Linked DNA regions of Arabidopsis thaliana. The protein of the gene in region 2 purifies or fractionates together with the protein of the main gene of each other region. This does not show direct contact. Each region holds a gene or a part of one and is shown on either strand. Other genes may lie near its edges.

Region 1 (10,341 bases), about 20 Mb from region 2:
TGTTCTACTTACGTAAACCAATTTTATTTTTGCTTCTAATCATGACTTTTCTACTATCCAATGACAAATTGCCACTTCTATGCTATAATGCATAACTCCAAAGATCAACTGAGCAATTATTACGAAGAAACACTTACGAGTAACGCCACTATACTGGAATTATTCAAATGGACCATTAACTCTTCTCAATATATGAACAAAACGAAATATTCAATATCTATCGATTAATCAATGATAATCAATTCTTCTTTTTTGTAATCAAGATAATTTGGACTTCATCAGATCTCGTAATCTTTGCGAGACTAAAACATGTTAGATTAGTTTTTTCTTTTCCATGGTGTGAAACATAGTATAAGCTTTAAGTTAATCTAGATAGGTTAATTGGTTAAATGTCTCATTTCAATAAAACAAAAAAAAAATGGCTAACCGGGAACGTACCGGCTTTAATAGAAGCGTCGGCCTGAGCAACGTTACGTGCCATAGAAGCAAGCAAAGCAATTCCATGTTCGGCAGCAGCCACCGTATTAGCCGTTGGAGCATTAACCACCAAACACCCGTGCTCCGTCGCCGCCTGCAGATCAACATTGTCAATCCCAACTCCGGCTCTTCCGACCACTTTCAACCTCCCCTTCGCCGCCTCAAACACTTCCCTCGTCACTTTAGTTCCGCTTCTCACGATCAGAGCGTCACTCTCCGCCACTTTCTTCTTCAGATCTTCCGGCGAAAGATCGTAAGAGCAGTCAACGTCGCCGAATTCCCTGAGGAGATTCACGCCGGCTTCTCCCAGTTTCTCGGTGACGAGGATCCTCGGCTTTGGAAGAGTTGGATTGTATTCATCAGAGTCAGATCCGACGGTTGAGAATCTGTTATCCTCTGTTAACGTCGTTTGCTCGACGGTTTTTAAGGCGGCGCTTATGGCCGTTAGTTTGACGCTTGTTGCGTAACGGCGGTGAAGGAAAGCAGGGAGGACGGCGAATCTAGAAGACGGTGACGGAGACGGAGACGTCCACCGTGAGTTGACGGCTTTGACGGACGAACACGAAGATGAAAATGCCATGACTCTTTTTTTTAATAATAAATATGATTGGTTGTTGTGAGTGTGTGCAGAAGAGCTAAAGTGGTTAATATAGAGCTTACAGGAGGTAATGGATGAGTTTTAATTTAATCTTTCACATTGTGGGCTACCAACATTATGTATTAAGTTGAACAGTTTGTTTGGTAAAAGAGTAAATAAAATGAGAAGCACATGCACAGAGAGTAGGACGTTCTTGTCTAGGTGCATCATCATTGTCTCAATTAAAACAAAAAAAACACATATAAAGTAGTATATAATAAAAGATTCATTTAAGCATTCAATTAATTGTTACTATAATTTAGCACTGAAATACATTGTCATCTATATTAGTATATTACGGTTAATATTCATCATCATGTGCATCCTTATTAATAAAAGAAAAATAATTGACGACCAATCTTTTATGTGATTCTCCCACTAAAATGATGGAGTTTCCGAAAGCATCTTTAAACCATAACTTTATGTTTCTTTTACTTAATTTTATTTTTGCAGAGAAGATAGATTCGGACTTTTCCTCACGAATTTTTTCAACTTTATTCATTAACAAGTGTATATGAAAAGAAACATGAAAGAACAAGACTTTGCAATGAACAAGACATGGGAGAGAGGGAGGAGACTTCACCATATCATCCTCTCTCCCAAGTTGACAACTGCAACAATCCACCAAGAGTACTATAAACATTCTTCTCCTTGGAAAGAATATACCTTTTACTCCAGTGTATTCCTTTCTGGACCTGGAAAATTTGGTGGAACTACTACCAGAGACACATCTGGAGAATTAACATTTGTACAACTAATCCAAACCATTAAGCAGATGATGAAATTTCTCATTGTAAAAACACACTCTAGGTTTTATATAAACAAAAGCATGTACCAGGGTGAGCAATTTACACAAACATTCCCATCATGTTCAGGGATTAATAGCATCAACATCTCAATAAAAGAAGAATCCAAATACAGTTTTTTTTTTTGTTAGGTTAGCTAATTAACCTCTGGCTTTAAGCTCGGCAAGTCTCCTGGTTAAATCATCCTCCTCAACTTTCTCTTCAGTCTTGGTAGGAATGGCATGACCAGCAGGCTGAGGTAGTCCAACAGAAACTTCAAGACCGTAATCATCTGCTACTTGCTGCATCAAGCTGTTGACTTCTCCTTCTGGAGTCGACAATGAAGTAGAGCCAGCCATTGCATTATCCATGAACTCAGCTTGGACTTCCATGTTCACAAACTGTTTCTCAAACGAATCCATCGTCTCAGACATCTTCTGTAAGTTGCCTGTTGCAAAGAACAAACCAGAAAATGATAACACGAGTTGCTACAGCACAACGTATAAGAGTATTATAAGCCCTATCTTCTTCTCCCTCTATACTACACTTACCAAAAGGAGAGAAATGCAACAAAAATTCATCACAGATCACAGAACATCCATGACGGTGAGAGAGAGCTATTCTAATATTTCATCAAACCAAACCCTAATGCATGATTCCATATCCTTCAATCAGCAAAAACAACAACAAGGAGCAGAATTTTTCAATCTATACTATAATGCTATGAGCACCAACAAAACCAAATTGATTAGATTGCTGAAAAGTGAGAATGTGAAATACCAGTGGTAAGAGACGATTCGAGGGATTTGACAATGTTGGTCATCGATTTGGTGATGGTAGCCATCTTAGCCTGGGTATCGAGTCGAGCAACAACAGCGTCCAATCGAGAAGAGAGACGAAGGTAGTTCATCTGCTCGCTGCGTTTGCGAATGGCGTTCTCGGCATAGATCCGAGCACCATCCATGTTACCTTTCTCAATGGCTTTCTTTACCTTGAGCTTCTCCGATCTCTCCTCTTTTTCGCACTTCCTAGCTTGCCTCTGCAGAGACTTTGACGTAAATTTCAATTCAAAGATCTGGTTCATCAGCTTATCTGTATTACCCATCTCCTCGATCAGTTAATCGGGATTCGCTTGTTTGATCAATCGGAATCGGAAAAAATTAGGGTTCTTTCGAATTTGGGGAAAGATATCTCAAGCGTGTTTCTTCCGCAGAAAGAGAGGTTTTAACTTTTAAACGAGGAGGCTTCCTAACATTATGTCCTAAATCGAATTGCACTGACTGGTTCTATTATTCGGTTATATCCGGTTTAAGTTTTAATCTTTTAATCCGTCACTGAGTCTGAGTGGTTAGTAGTTATAAAAAAAAAACACTCCTTTGACTTATTCGTTTCAGTTTTGATTATTCACCATCCAAATACATTTGGTATAAACTATAGTAATACTTTTTAAATTCATTTGATTTGTACTGGTTTCAATCGTTTTTCTTTTTTTCTACCGCTTGGGTATTCTCATGAGTTAATTTTGACCCCTGAAAGAAACTTGTAATTTTTCTCAAGTAAGATATGATAATATCAGATTAGAAAAAACAAATGTGCAATGGAATTCTATTTAGGATAATTTGGCAAAAATAATTATTTAGTACTTACTAATGATAATTATACATTTTCCCCCATCACACAACACAACAGTGGAAAGCGCAGCACCTCCACAACTGACCAATGATAGGCGAAAACATATGTCACTGTCCACCGATATGTAGTGGTCAAATAAATAATGTCACCGACTGTAACGCTAAGGATACTTTGGAATCAGGACAAAAACATTATAGTATTAGACATATTAACTTATACGGATTTGTTCCTTCGTTTTGGTCTCGAAGGAAAAAAAAAAGAAAAAAGTTATAATTCCACTTTTGTCCTTTTAGAGAGAGAAAAAGGCCAAGGCGTTTTTCTTCTCTCGTTCCTCCATTTTCTACAGAGAGATATATCAAAAATTCCATTTTCTACAGAGAGAGAGAGAGAGAGAGAGAGAGAGAGAGGGACGAAATATTAATCATCGATCAAGTTGCTTCAATCGCGAAAAAATCCATGAATAAAACTATGGAATGGAATGTGAATCAAAGGATTTGGTTATGGTGATGACGCGATCTTCGATTCGATTCGGTGATTAAAAGATTTGGAAGCTCAGATCTCAAGCTCGGATTTCTAATTTTTGTTGGATTATCTAACCCAAAAGCCAAAAAAAAAAAATGAACGGTGGTGACGATGCCGCTACTAGTGGTCCTCCTCCGTCTTTAGAGTGGAGATTCTCTCAGGTCTTCGGTGAGCGAACCGCCGGAGAAGAAGTTCAGGAAGGTAATTATTGCCTACGTGTGTTATAAATTGTGAGATATATTCGGAGTTTAGCTCTTCTTTTTTCTTTTAGATCCGGAGTGTATTTGAGGACTAAGGGTTTGATTTGTTGTTTGGATCTGATTAGTGAGTTATTCCTCTACTACTTAGTGGGTCATTGATGAATCTCTGTGGCTTTTATTGCACTGTTAGTAGAGTTTCTAAGTTCTATGACAAGTTTGGATTGTTGTGTATTATGTGATATTAGAGCATCTCTATTTAGCTGATTGTTGCGAGGTTGTAACTCTCATTTTTGTACAAGTTTCAGCTGTACTGCTGTAAATTTGAATCATTTGATACGCTGATGATAGTTTTAAGTTGAGATTAAGAGGGTAATCTAGCTTCAAGGTTTTGTCTGTTCAATGCCATAAGCCATGTATACTTTTTTCCACTGGTACAATGGTGTCTCGACTCTGTTTAACAGCAAGAAAGGCATATGAAGCGATGAGGGATTGGGTTGTCGAGGGACAAGTGTGAAGGGTTATCATTGGTCATGCATTTTGGGTTCATGAATTGAATTTGTAATATTGAGTTGGTCTATAGCTGCTCTCTTCTGGCTGATAAGACTTCCCGGAGTATTGATGTAACTAGGTTGCCTTCAGAGGCACTTTCCGTATTAGATAAATTTAATCTGCTCTCATGTTATTGGATGTAATCTTCTTTACCGGTTTACATACTCTATGTTATGGAGAATAATATACTAGCTGCACCTCAAGGTTATTATGTGTTTAGCTCCTACAATTTAGTGGTGACTTCTGATGTAATGATTCTGTTTGCACACATTTCTTCCGCAGTTGACATCATTTCAGCCATCGAATTTGATAAAAGTGGAGACCATCTCGCAACTGGTGACCGTGGGGGCCGAGTAGTTCTTTTTGAAAGGACAGATACTAAAGATGTGAGTTCCTTTTTCTTCTGCAAGATTTGTTTCGAAAAAATGTTATGTGCTGTAACGCACTCTTGCAAAATGTTACTTTCAGCATGGAGGGTCCAGGAAGGATCTTGAGCAGACGGATTACCCAGTTAGGCATCCTGAGTTTCGATATAAAACAGAATTTCAGAGTCATGAACCAGAGGTACATTAAAACTTATCACCAGATTTCACTTACGAGTAATTGTGTTCCTTGAGCTACTCAATAAGCTTGCTTTTCAATCTGTTTCAGTTTGACTATCTCAAGAGTTTGGAGATAGAGGAGAAAATCAACAAAATCAGATGGTGTCAGCCAGCTAATGGTGCATTGTTTCTGCTTTCTACAAACGATAAAACCATCAAATATTGGAAGGTGTGACATCTGGATGGATTTTTATATCACATGTCTGCAAAATATAGGCCACTTATAGCAATTCCTTTCTGTGTAACTCGGTTCCATAATCTTGTTTCATATGCTTTATAGTGTAGAAATATTAGGTGTCACGTGTGAAAACTGTCTAGAAACTGGTTTCTTTTGCTTCCAAGACTCAATTCAAAATAAGAGAAATAGTTTGTTTCTTTACTCTTATAATTTGACTCCTCCTCTTATTTGGAATCAAACAGGTACAAGAGAAGAAGATCAAGAAAATTAGTGAAATGAATATTGATCCGTCAGAAAGTTCAAATATCCCTCCTCAATTAGTTACTAATGGATTACCTGCTGATAAAGGGCATGACTACCTGAGCAAGGACTTTTCTTTCCCGCCAGGAGGCATTCCATCTCTGCGTTTGCCTGTGGTAGTTGTACTCGACGCAACTTTTTTTTACTTTTTGTTTGGGTGTCAAATGAAGTGAGTTTTAATTTCAGGATTCTGAAAAGTAAATGCGTATAGATATTAAGCCTGTTTTTTACTGGAAGTTGTGGATATTTTCTTCATGTTGATGATCCAGCTACTTGAGTTATGAAATGTAGGGAATTTACTATTGGCCTTGTTTCCTTTTGTCGTAACTAAAGCTCAGTACCAAATTAGTCTAATGCACTAGTCAATTTGTGTTCTACTTGAACTTATGGGTGTTTCTGCATATATAGGTTACCAGCCAGGAGACTAACCTTGTGGCTAGATGCCGAAGAGTGTATGCCCATGCTCATGATTACCATATTAATTCAATCTCCAATAGCAGGTAATCGTTTTCCTAAGTTTTCCCTCAGGTTATATGTTTTACTCTTGATATCTCTTTAACACGTTTTTGCTGTCTTTCTCCTTAATTTTTCCATCTCAGGAAACAATGCTAATATCTAAAAAATCCTTAGAATTTTATTTTGCATGTCTTTCCATGTCTGGTCGTGCTATTATTCTCTTTGTCGAAAATCTTGTTGATCCTAAATTTCACAACTTGTATTGCATTGTTTTGTTCCTTGTGGTAATGAATCGTTCCCTTAATTGTTACAGTGACGGAGAAACCTTTATTTCGGCTGATGATCTGCGAGTAAATCTCTGGAATTTGGAAATTAGCAACCAGAGTTTCAATATTGTTGATGTTAAGCCCACAAACATGGAGGACTTAACTGGTATGCTACTTCTCCTATTTTGTTAGATGTTACTTTGTATGGTCTTACCATTGATTCATATGTCAACAACCTCCTTACTTTTATTATCTATTTTTTTCACGTTTACTGCTTGTCGAGCATGCTTCTAAATGCTACATGGTCTGTGCAGAGGTTATTACATCAGCTGAGTTTCATCCTATCCATTGTAATATGCTCGCATATAGTAGTTCAAAAGGCTCCATTCGTTTGATTGATATGCGTCAATCAGCTCTGTGTGATTCTCATACGAAATTGTAAGTTCTGTTCTCATCATCCTTTATCGGAAATGGTAGTTGCATGTTTCAATATATACTTAAGAAGGGGATATGAATACGTGGGTTCATTTCCAATTTTTCTCTTTTCTTGTCAGAAATGACTTGGAAATGAAGATTAATAGGCTAAAGTTTCTGACCACTGACCATTGTTGCTTCATATCACAGATTTGAAGAACCGGAAGCACCTGGTTCAAGATCATTTTTCACAGAGATAATTGCCTCAATTTCAGATATTAAATTCTCAAAGGATGGGAGATACATACTTAGTCGCGATTACATGACGCTCAAGGTTGGAAATCATTCGGTTCCCTTTGTGTATATTTTTCTGATTGTGGGCCAATAGAGGTCTATTCTTTAGTTCTTTCTGATATCTTTTACCCTTTTTGACGTTTCAGCTGTGGGACATAAACATGGATTCTGGTCCGGTCGCATCTTACCAGGTTCATGAACATCTGAGACCCAGGGTGAGAGCTTCTTTCTGTGGCATCTTTTATTTGTTGATTCTGTGTTGAAAGCTAACCACGTTATGTTTTACCCGGTTGCAGCTATGCGATCTATATGAAAATGACTCCATCTTTGATAAATTTGAGTGTTGTCTGAGTGGCGATGGATTGAGGGTAGCAACAGGTTCTTACAGGTTGACTTGCTTGTCTTCTGGTCATTGCTGTACTTTTCTGTCTTGTATAAGGAATAAACTAATGACCAATTTATTATACTTAATCTCCGGTGAACCAGCAATCTATTCCGCGTATTTGGAGCGTCTCAAGGAAGTACTGAAGCTGCGACTTTGGAAGCTAGCAAAAACCCGATGAGGTAAATCAGAAAACAGAGAACATTGATAGTTAACCTTATTAAGTCATTGAAGTTTGTATTGATCAATTGTTGCAAAACTTTCGCATCAATGGTATATATTAGGAGGCAAATCCAGACACCTGCAAGACCATCCAGATCTATAGGCAGTATGACACGCGTGGTTAGACGAGGTTAGTGGTCATAGTACCTGTAAAACTTATTCAAGCTTTTACTACTCTCTTCTGGAGTAAAAAACTTTTGTTTTGGACGCAGGATCAGAGAGTCCCGGAACAGAGGCAAATGGGAACGCCTACGATTTCACAACAAAGTTGCTGCATATGGCTTGGCACCCAACAGAGAACTCAATTGCTTGTGCAGCAGCAAACAGCTTGTACATGTACTATGCATGAGTTGGGAAGAGAGAGAGAAGACATAAACATGGAATCAGCTTGCTCCAATTTAACTTTCCCTTTCTTCTTTTCCCGGGTCTCTCTCTCACTCTCTTTCTCTCTTTCTTTTAACAACCAAAGTCATGATGTAACCAGAAAAGGTGTAGTAGTAACAGAGTAATGCTGTGACCAAGACCAAAGCCTGACCAGTCACCGCGACGAGTCAACGGAAGAAGCAGCAACAGTAATCTTTCAGGAGTTAGTAAGGTAAAAAGTGTTGGGTTGGGAAAGAAAACAAGAAGAGGCCTTTTGTTTACCTGAAGAAGGGTAATGTCTTAAATATCCGAACCACCCCTCCTACTTAGGTTGTCTTTTTTTTGGGTTGCTGCACTAAGGATAAATTTTATTTTATTTTTTTAGTATCGATTCTATTACCTTTTTTTTTTCAATTAAGAAACAAATTATGGTGTGTGGGATTTTTTAGTATGAGACGATTGGGAGGGATGTGCTTCAAAATTTGTTTATTGATTCTTTTGTCATATCTTCTTCTTCTTCTTGAACACCACATCCATTCTGTTTTTTTGCTATTTGTCTATTTTTCAATTGTATTTTCAGACACCTCTTTTGTGTTTTTTACTTTTACCCACAATAAAAAGTAGCTTTCTCCTCCATTCCTCGTAGATTCTATTGTAAGCAAATAAAATTATCTTTGACTACTGATTGTAATACTTTAAAGGATGCGATGAATTGAATATATGTATCCTTACCTCAAGAAGAGTGTCGAGGGCAACATTAATATTACGTAACTTAATTTGATTTCTGCTAAGAAAAATGAAATGTTTGCCAATTGAGGTAGTGGATGCAGTGAAATGTAGTTTTTTCGTGGTGCCACAAGATTTACAACTAGATATAAAATATTATGTTCCTTGTTCTATATCACAATCTAAAGACACGAGGAAGAGAAATAAAAGAAGCTTGTTTTGATGCGTCTCTTCTGATAATGTCTGATAGAAGTATATTATTTTATAGATAGAGGATTACACACACACACACACATTTGTTTTGTTGTCATGCTAAGACTTGTTTGGTTAGAATACTTTTAATTGTTATTGAAGAAATCAAATACAGATGAATATTGAAAGATGTGGCTACCAAATGAAAAGATGATGTGATCCTTAACCCCTAGAATATTCTTTCTGCTTACAATTGTGATTTGTCACTCAATATTCCTTCCAAGTTGCAACCTTATTCCTTCCTAGTGCCTTCTGATGCAATTCCCATATATTTCGATAAATTTCATGTTTTTAAGTTTAAATCCAATCGAGTATGAATGTTGTGGTTTTTACAATTAACTTTATCGATCAAATGTGTGACATAAAGCAACTATCCCATGCACATTTATTTATTTTTCATCCCATGATAAATCAAAACTTATTCATACGATAAACACCAATATATTCATTTTGCATTTTTTACTTTTTTTGGGTTGCGTATTAAAAGAAAAATAAACCTTTTTGGGTAACGGATTTTATTTTCCTTTAATAAAAATGAAAATAATGACGAAAACGCATAAATAGGTGGAATATTCTTTTTTTTTATCTTATTCCATTCCGGTGTCTTCTCAAATCTCAACTGCCTAAATCCCACTAAATAAAACTTTTAACAAGCCAAACTAAATAATACCCACAAAATAAACCAAAGAGTCATCAACACCGTTGGATCAGTATACCTAGTCAATGTTTGACACATAAACGTCATCAGATCTAACGGTTCAAAAGATACGAATCATATCAGATTAGGATTCTTAATTATCTATCTTACCTTGCGTTTGACGGTAAGTAATATTCCAATGGCATCTTCCTCGAAAGATCCCTATTCGTCTCTAGCCTTTTCACCTTCTCTCACTCGTATATATATCACATTCTTCTTCTCCAAATTCCATAATCATACAGAAATCGATAAAACAGTACCTATAAAACATTGTATCTGATAGAATGGCTAAGAATAACAACATCGTGATCGTCTTCGATTTTGACAAGACAATCATCGATGTAGACAGCGATAATTGGGTCGTGGATGAACTTGGTTTCACTGATT
Region 2 (6,805 bases):
TGAGACATACATTGCAATCTGCAGGCATTGTAAGAAGCGACTTAGCGGCTCAAGCGCGAGCGGGACTTCGCATTTGAGGAACCATTTGATTAGATGTAGGAGGAGAACTAATGGTAACAACAACGGTGTTGCTCAGTATTTCGTTAAGGGGAAGAAGAAAGAGTTAGCTAATGAGCGGATAAAGGATGAAGAAGTGCTTAGTGTAGTGAATGTTAGATATGAACATGAGAAAGAAGAACATGAAGATGTTAATGTTGTGAGTATGGGTTTGGATCAGAGGCGGTGTCGATTCGATTTAGCCAGGATGATTATCTTACATGGTTATCCGTTGAGTATGGTTGAAGATGTTGGATTCAGAATGTTTATTGGAAATTTACAGCCTTTGTTTGAGCTTGTTGCTTTTGAAAGAGTTGAATCTGATTGTATGGAGATTTATGCGAAAGAGAAGCATAAGATTTTCGAAGCGTTGGATAAGTTACCTGGGAAGATTAGTATTAGTGTTGATGTGTGGAGTGGTTCGGGTGATTCTGATGAATTCTTGTGTTTGGCAGCGCATTATATTGATGAAGGATGGGAATTGAAAAAGAGAGTTTTGAACTTCTTTATGGTTGATCCATCTCATAGTGGTGAGATGCTTGCTGAAGTTATAATGACGTGTTTGATGGAGTGGGATATTGACCGGAAGTTGTTTTCTATGGCGTCGAGTCATGCTCCTCCGTTTAGTGAGAACGTAGCTAGTAAAATCAGAGACCGGTTATCGCAGAATAAGTTCCTTTACTGTTACGGCCAATTGTTTGATGTGAGCTGTGGAGTTAATGTCATTAACGAGATGGTTCAAGATTCCCTGGAAGCTTGTTGTGACACAATAAACATTATTCGAGAGAGTATTAGATATGTTAAAAGCTCAGAATCTATTCAAGATAGATTCAACCAGTGGATAGTTGAAACGGGAGCTGTAAGTGAAAGGAACCTATGCATCGATGACCCAATGAGATGGGACTCAACATGCACCATGCTGGAGAATGCTTTAGAGCAAAAGAGCGCGTTTTCGCTCATGAATGAACATGATCCTGATTCCGTGTTATGTCCATCTGATTTGGAATGGGAGAGATTAGGAACAATTGTTGAGTTCTTGAAAGTCTTTGTTGAAGTGATAAATGCATTCACAAAGAGCAGTTGTTTACCCGCCAATATGTACTTCCCAGAGGTATGCGACATACACCTCCGGTTAATTGAGTGGAGCAAGAACCCGGATGATTTCATTAGCTCTCTAGTTGTAAACATGAGAAAGAAATTTGACGATTTCTGGGATAAAAACTACCTGGTTCTAGCCATCGCTACCATATTAGACCCGCGGTTCAAAATGAAGCTGGTTGAATACTATTACCCTCTGTTTTATGGTACTAGTGCTTCAGAGCTCATTGAAGATATTTCTGAGTGCATCAAACTGCTGTACGATGAGCATTCTGTAGGATCGCTATTAGCGTCGTCAAATCAAGCTCTTGACTGGCAGAATCATCATCATCGGTCAAACGGTGTTGCCCATGGGAAAGAGCCTGACGATAGACTCACAGAATTCGATAGGTACATTAACGAAACAACTACTACACCGGGTCAAGACTCTAAATCAGATCTAGAAAAGTATCTAGAAGAGCCACTTTTTCCCCGGAATTCAGATTTCGACATCCTGAACTGGTGGAAAGTTCACACACCTAAGTACCCAATTCTCTCCATGATGGCACGTAACGTGTTAGCAGTTCCAATGTTGAATGTATCATCAGAAGAAGACGCCTTTGAAACTTGTCAAAGGAGACGGGTTAGTGAAACATGGCGTTCGCTTAGACCGAGTACCGTGCAAGCCTTGATGTGTGCACAAGATTGGATCCAAAGCGAACTAGAAAGCTCTTGAAACTCTCGATTCATCTTATTTTGATCTGAGTGTTGTTTTTCTATAGATTAGATCTCAGCTCCAGCTTGTTTGTTTATTGTCTGTACCTCTCCACAACATTCATATTTATATCTACCTAGCTAGGGCTTTTGCTGTGTAACATGATCATCATTTCTCTGTACAAAGTTGGCTTCAATAGAATTTGGTGATAGCGGTTTCAGTTACTTGGACCAGAATCTTTGCACACAAAAAATTACGGATTTTAAAAGACAATGGAGAGTTTAACAAACAGAAATAGACGTAAGGAATATGAAATTACAAAAAGTGGTTAAGAATAGAAGCAAAAGAGACGAAGAGCTAGTGTGTGGAATTGCAGCTTTAGTTCTTTTGGTACTTACAAAAAATAATCTGGAGTCTTGCGAGTGGTTTCGGGTTCGACTTGACGTGGAGCTGGATCAAACTGAAGGAAATTCTGGTCCATGTTCTCACCGATCTCTAGAATCGCAGCCATGTTGCCACAACGGTAGCAATAGTTTGGGGCACTAAATACAGTCACAACGTTCTTTTCTTGGCACCAATTAAAACCTTCCATGACAAGTTGATGTGCTCTTGAAATCAGAGAGAGTCCATTGGTGTGGTTAAACTGAGTAGCGATATCTTGTCCGAAAGTGTAGCCTGCACCACGAGGAGATATTCCCCAACCGCATCGGTCATCTGGATCAGACCATAAGAGATCACACATTGGTCCTTCATGTGGAACCTAGAGGCAACACAAACATCTTAGTCTCGTTATGTAAACATCAAGTAAGGTGCATCCTTTTGTTGGTTTGGATTCTGGAACTAACCTCTTGAATTCGATCTAAAGATCGGATGTTGTCAAGTGTATCTAAAGAAGGTGAAAGTCCTCCATGTAAACAGAAAACCTACAGAAAAAAAGAGTTCTGTAGTCAAGTCCAAAACAGCAGAAACAGAGAAGAGATTGTCTAAGGTAGTGAAAACGCTCATTAGTTTTTTAAATACCTGACTCTCAATAAGAGCTGTAAGTGGAAGATAATCAAAAAGATCAGTGAAGTGCTTCCATACATTAGCATTTCCATATTTCCTCAAACATTCATCATAAAACCCATACCTGAAAAAGGTAAGCAATCAGCAAGAAACATTTTGAGAGAGGCTGAGAAGCTTATAATACAAAACTTAGTAGAGAAAACAACTTACACTTGAGTAATTTGACGGCTTTCATGATTCCCTCTTAGGATAGTAAGTCTATCTCTGTAACGAACTTTCAGTGCTACCAAAAGTGAGACTGTCTCCACAGAATAATACCCTCGATCTTCACAAGTTTAACAATGATCCATTAGTTAGCTAATTGAGCAACTTAAGTAGGAAACGGAGCTTAAGGCACTTAAACAGAGAAAAGAGAAACACAAATCCGAGTACTCGAACATGAAGCTTCACAAACTACATTAAAATGTTATATCTCCCAAGGTCAAGCTACTCCATTGTAGAAGCCCTGAGAATAGTTAACAGCTAAAACAAAAGTTTCGTCTTTTCAATGACAAAATCTTCCAAAACCAAAACTTTTCGATAGATAAACAATAATCTATCCATTTCTAGTAAACACTTCCAAATAAGTCTACATTAGCCCCAAAAGGTCAACAAAATCAAATCCAAATTAGGGAAAATACCCAAATCCAAATCAAGAGATGTGAGAAATGTAGAAACCCTAAAAAAAGCTATAAGGTAAAGAGAGACTCTCACCAACATAATCACCCATGAAAAGATAATTAGTATCAGGAGAAGAACCACCGATACGAAAAAGCTCGATTAGATCGTAAAATTGGCCGTGGATATCACCGCAGACGGTAACCGGACATTTAACCGGTTGAACATTATACTCTTCCACAAGAATCGTCTTTGCGTGCTCACACAACATCTTCACCTCCGTTTCAGATAACGCTTTACACTCCATAAGCTGCTCGATCTGACGATCGATATCTCCGGTCGCCGGCGGCATCTTTCTCCGATCTAAAGTAAATATAAACAATCCGGATTGTTTTTAATCTCGGATCCGGTTTGTGTTTGGATTCAATCTATCTATCATCATCATCACTCCATGGATTTAGAAGAAGAGAAATTGTGAATTTCGATTTTTGTTGGAACTTTGTATTTGTTTTCTTTTCATCGGAGTTGATAATTAATTATTCTCTCCGGCAGCCGCACCGAGTCAAAGTCCATTGTGGGGGTCTGACACGTGGCTTTCATTTTTTCAGGCCCATTCATAGGGTCGTTAATCGTTTAGCCCATTTGGCCCAACGAAATTGAAAGAACTATAACATAGCCCACCATAATCATAAAACTTTAACCATCGTTTAAACTTTAAAGCTTCGTTGAAACTTGAAACTCATAAACTTTTAACCTTAAATGTAACTCCTAATTCCAAATTAGTAAACCCTAATCATCATTTTAACGTAGTCGAAGCTCAGACCACTGAACCTTATCGTACATGCGAAAGTGTTCGCTCCAAAAATATGTCCCAAGAGAAAAATGTAAGATAAGAGTATATGACATTTGGTATGCGGATGAAAAGTTTCATACAAATTAAACTATTTTCATAATTTTCCTTTAATTTATTCGTTCACCTTTATTGTTGTCTTTGTAATTAAGTAACTATGAATAATTGTTAATTAAAATTTCTAGAGCGATAGGAGCAGTCGTATATGTTTAGTTCAAATGTTCCAGCTTTAAGACTGGTCTTCAGTTACTTTTGATTATGAAGACTGGAAGCCCAAAAAAAAAAAAAAAAAAAAGACAAAAAGAAGTTGATTGATTATTATGTCTCTGTTTAGTCTGTCTAATGCGTTTGGTAATAATTCAAATTAAAGATATTCAAACTCTTGAAATTGTGAACTTTAAAAGTGAACATGTAGGGATCATATATTATATATATGTTTAATTTTGCTTAATTAAGACAGAAAAAATAATGGTATTATATATTTGCTTTACCATGCACATATGTTCGAGAGTTACTTGTAAACCATTTTATATGTGGAACTCATGTTTTAATGGAAGAAGACATTTCATGTATCAAGTTTATCGTGGATGGTTGTAGAAGATTTTATAGAGCCGAACCGTAAACTCATGATTTTGCTATATATTCTTGCTTTTCTTTATTTGCAAATAATTAATCTACATTATTTGGTTAGTAATTCTTTTTTCAAGAACCTTCTCATCTCATAACTAGTCATACACTACGATAAATTGTAATACCGGTTCTCATTTTTTGTTCTTTTCATTTTAATACATATTAGCATATGTTGCGTAGTGTGTATGTTGGTGGTGTAGTAAATTAGTAAGCTAAGTCTAATAGTTTTTTGTATTTCAAGATTAGTAAAATTAATTTAGAAATTAGAAATATATGGAAAATAAGTGAAAAAAGAGCGAGAAAATGAGTAGTGGTAGAGTTAACCCCACAAAAGAACAAAAGAATAAAAGATGGGAAAAAAGCATAACACAAAGAAGCATTGTGGTCTCCTTTATTTGTAAGAACCATTACACACATTCTCCTTTTCAAATTTCGGCATTTAGAGCTCAAATTATATCATATATATATGCCATTGCATTTATAAATTATTAATATCTTATGTATCCAATCTTTGTCGACATCTCTTTTATTTGCCCCTTTGGAAGAATATATGCTTTCAGAATACATCAATAAATAATGGATTCGACATTTTTTTTAATGATTGGATAAGACTCTTTCAAAGTACAATTGTTCTTTACAAAAAAAAAATCCATCTTAATTCTTTTTTTTTCATTCAAAACATGTGATAAGAATCATATATTGTCTATATATAGAACCATTTTGTGCGAGTGTTTTGGTAATCTACAATTTCTAATCGTGAATATATACACAAGGGTCAATCAGGTACGTAATTATGATGTTTTCATTTGTTTTAAAAAAACACACTTGTGCGCGCTCTCTCTAAAATACCATGTTATTTTGTCTGCCAAATCTGAATTGAATTAGCATGTTATTTAGAACAACATAGGGTACTGCTATTTGATAAGAAAGCATGTTAGTAATAAAATAGTACCCATTTTGTGTTTTTGCACATAAAAGGAGTACACAATTATTTACCTAACTTAATAAATGTTAATGATCATTTAGTGCAAGTACCCAATAAACAATGTGAGTAAGGAAATAAAGCATCTAAACGTTATTTGATGATGGATCAAATTAGAAATAATCCCAATATAAGTCGTGCAATGCGTGAGAAAACAGGATTGCATTGCATGTACGTATACTTCTTTTCTTTCTTGAAATCCTTTTAATAATCAGTGTCTTCATTTTTTTAAAACCTCCCCTAACTAGCTCAATATTTCTTCACTATAGGAACAAAACAAACATTTAAAAAAAAAAAAAACAGAATTGTAGGGTCACAAATATTTTGCGCATATTTAAAAGATTCGATCCCAAATGAAAGGAAAAGAGAATCTAGCAGCAATACAAGACCTATATTAATTTGCCAACAATTATACTTCTCTCTCTCTTTCTGCTTCTTACCCAAGCTTTAACCGTACTTATGCTCTTCCTGGTGGTCGTCTTGAATTCCCTGCTCTCCTGTATTAAGACAGAACATAGAGTTACTTAATCCAAGTCATGTTTTCTTGTTTTTCTTTACTTTCGTATAAACGATAACAAATCATACAACATTAATTCATTAATTGATATTTTAGTGATTTAGTCAATAGACTACTTTAATACGATCTACATGGAATTAACTGTGATCATAAGTGGGTTACCTATATAACTAAGAAAAAAAAGGGAGTGTTCAAAGGGCTAAAGCTTCCATAAAGGAAAAAAGAAAGTTTTTAAAAGAAGCCATCTTATAGTGAATAATTAAAAATAGATTGTTA

What was found.
Region 1: the proteins of PP2A (region 2) and ATB BETA fractionate together in Arabidopsis thaliana (co-fractionation; one large-scale study listed by BioGRID). This does not show direct contact.

What each region holds. Positions count from the first base shown.
Region 1 is NC_003070.9:6,091,873-6,102,213, reverse strand, and holds ATB BETA (Protein phosphatase 2A, regulatory subunit PR55), read left to right. Parts: upstream 1-3,774; 5' UTR 3,775-4,148; coding exon 4,149-4,254; intron 4,255-5,084; coding exon 5,085-5,188; intron 5,189-5,270; coding exon 5,271-5,366; intron 5,367-5,453; coding exon 5,454-5,573; intron 5,574-5,824; coding exon 5,825-6,001; intron 6,002-6,290; coding exon 6,291-6,382; intron 6,383-6,651; coding exon 6,652-6,770; intron 6,771-6,918; coding exon 6,919-7,042; intron 7,043-7,228; coding exon 7,229-7,352; intron 7,353-7,458; coding exon 7,459-7,527; intron 7,528-7,608; coding exon 7,609-7,700; intron 7,701-7,798; coding exon 7,799-7,876; intron 7,877-7,978; coding exon 7,979-8,046; intron 8,047-8,128; coding exon 8,129-8,265; 3' UTR 8,266-9,006; downstream 9,007-10,341. Other genes in the region: AT1G17744 (uncharacterized protein), read left to right, coding at 419-859; PGDH (D-3-phosphoglycerate dehydrogenase), read right to left, coding at 435-1,057; VPS46.1 (vacuolar protein sorting 46.1), read right to left, coding at 2,061-2,347, 2,680-3,004; PEPC1 (Pyridoxal phosphate phosphatase-related protein), read left to right, coding at 10,239-10,341. UniProt on the Arabidopsis thaliana protein: The B regulatory subunit may modulate substrate selectivity and catalytic activity, and may also direct the localization of the catalytic enzyme to a particular subcellular compartment.
Region 2 is NC_003070.9:26,346,610-26,353,414, forward strand, and holds PP2A (serine/threonine protein phosphatase 2A), read right to left. Parts: upstream 4,089-6,805; 5' UTR 3,903-4,088; coding exon 3,647-3,902; intron 3,219-3,646; coding exon 3,104-3,218; intron 3,018-3,103; coding exon 2,909-3,017; intron 2,812-2,908; coding exon 2,734-2,811; intron 2,649-2,733; coding exon 2,283-2,648; 3' UTR 2,112-2,282; downstream 1-2,111. UniProt on the Arabidopsis thaliana protein: Associates with the serine/threonine-protein phosphatase PP2A regulatory subunits A and B' to positively regulates beta-oxidation of fatty acids and protoauxins in peroxisomes by dephosphorylating peroxisomal beta-oxidation-related proteins.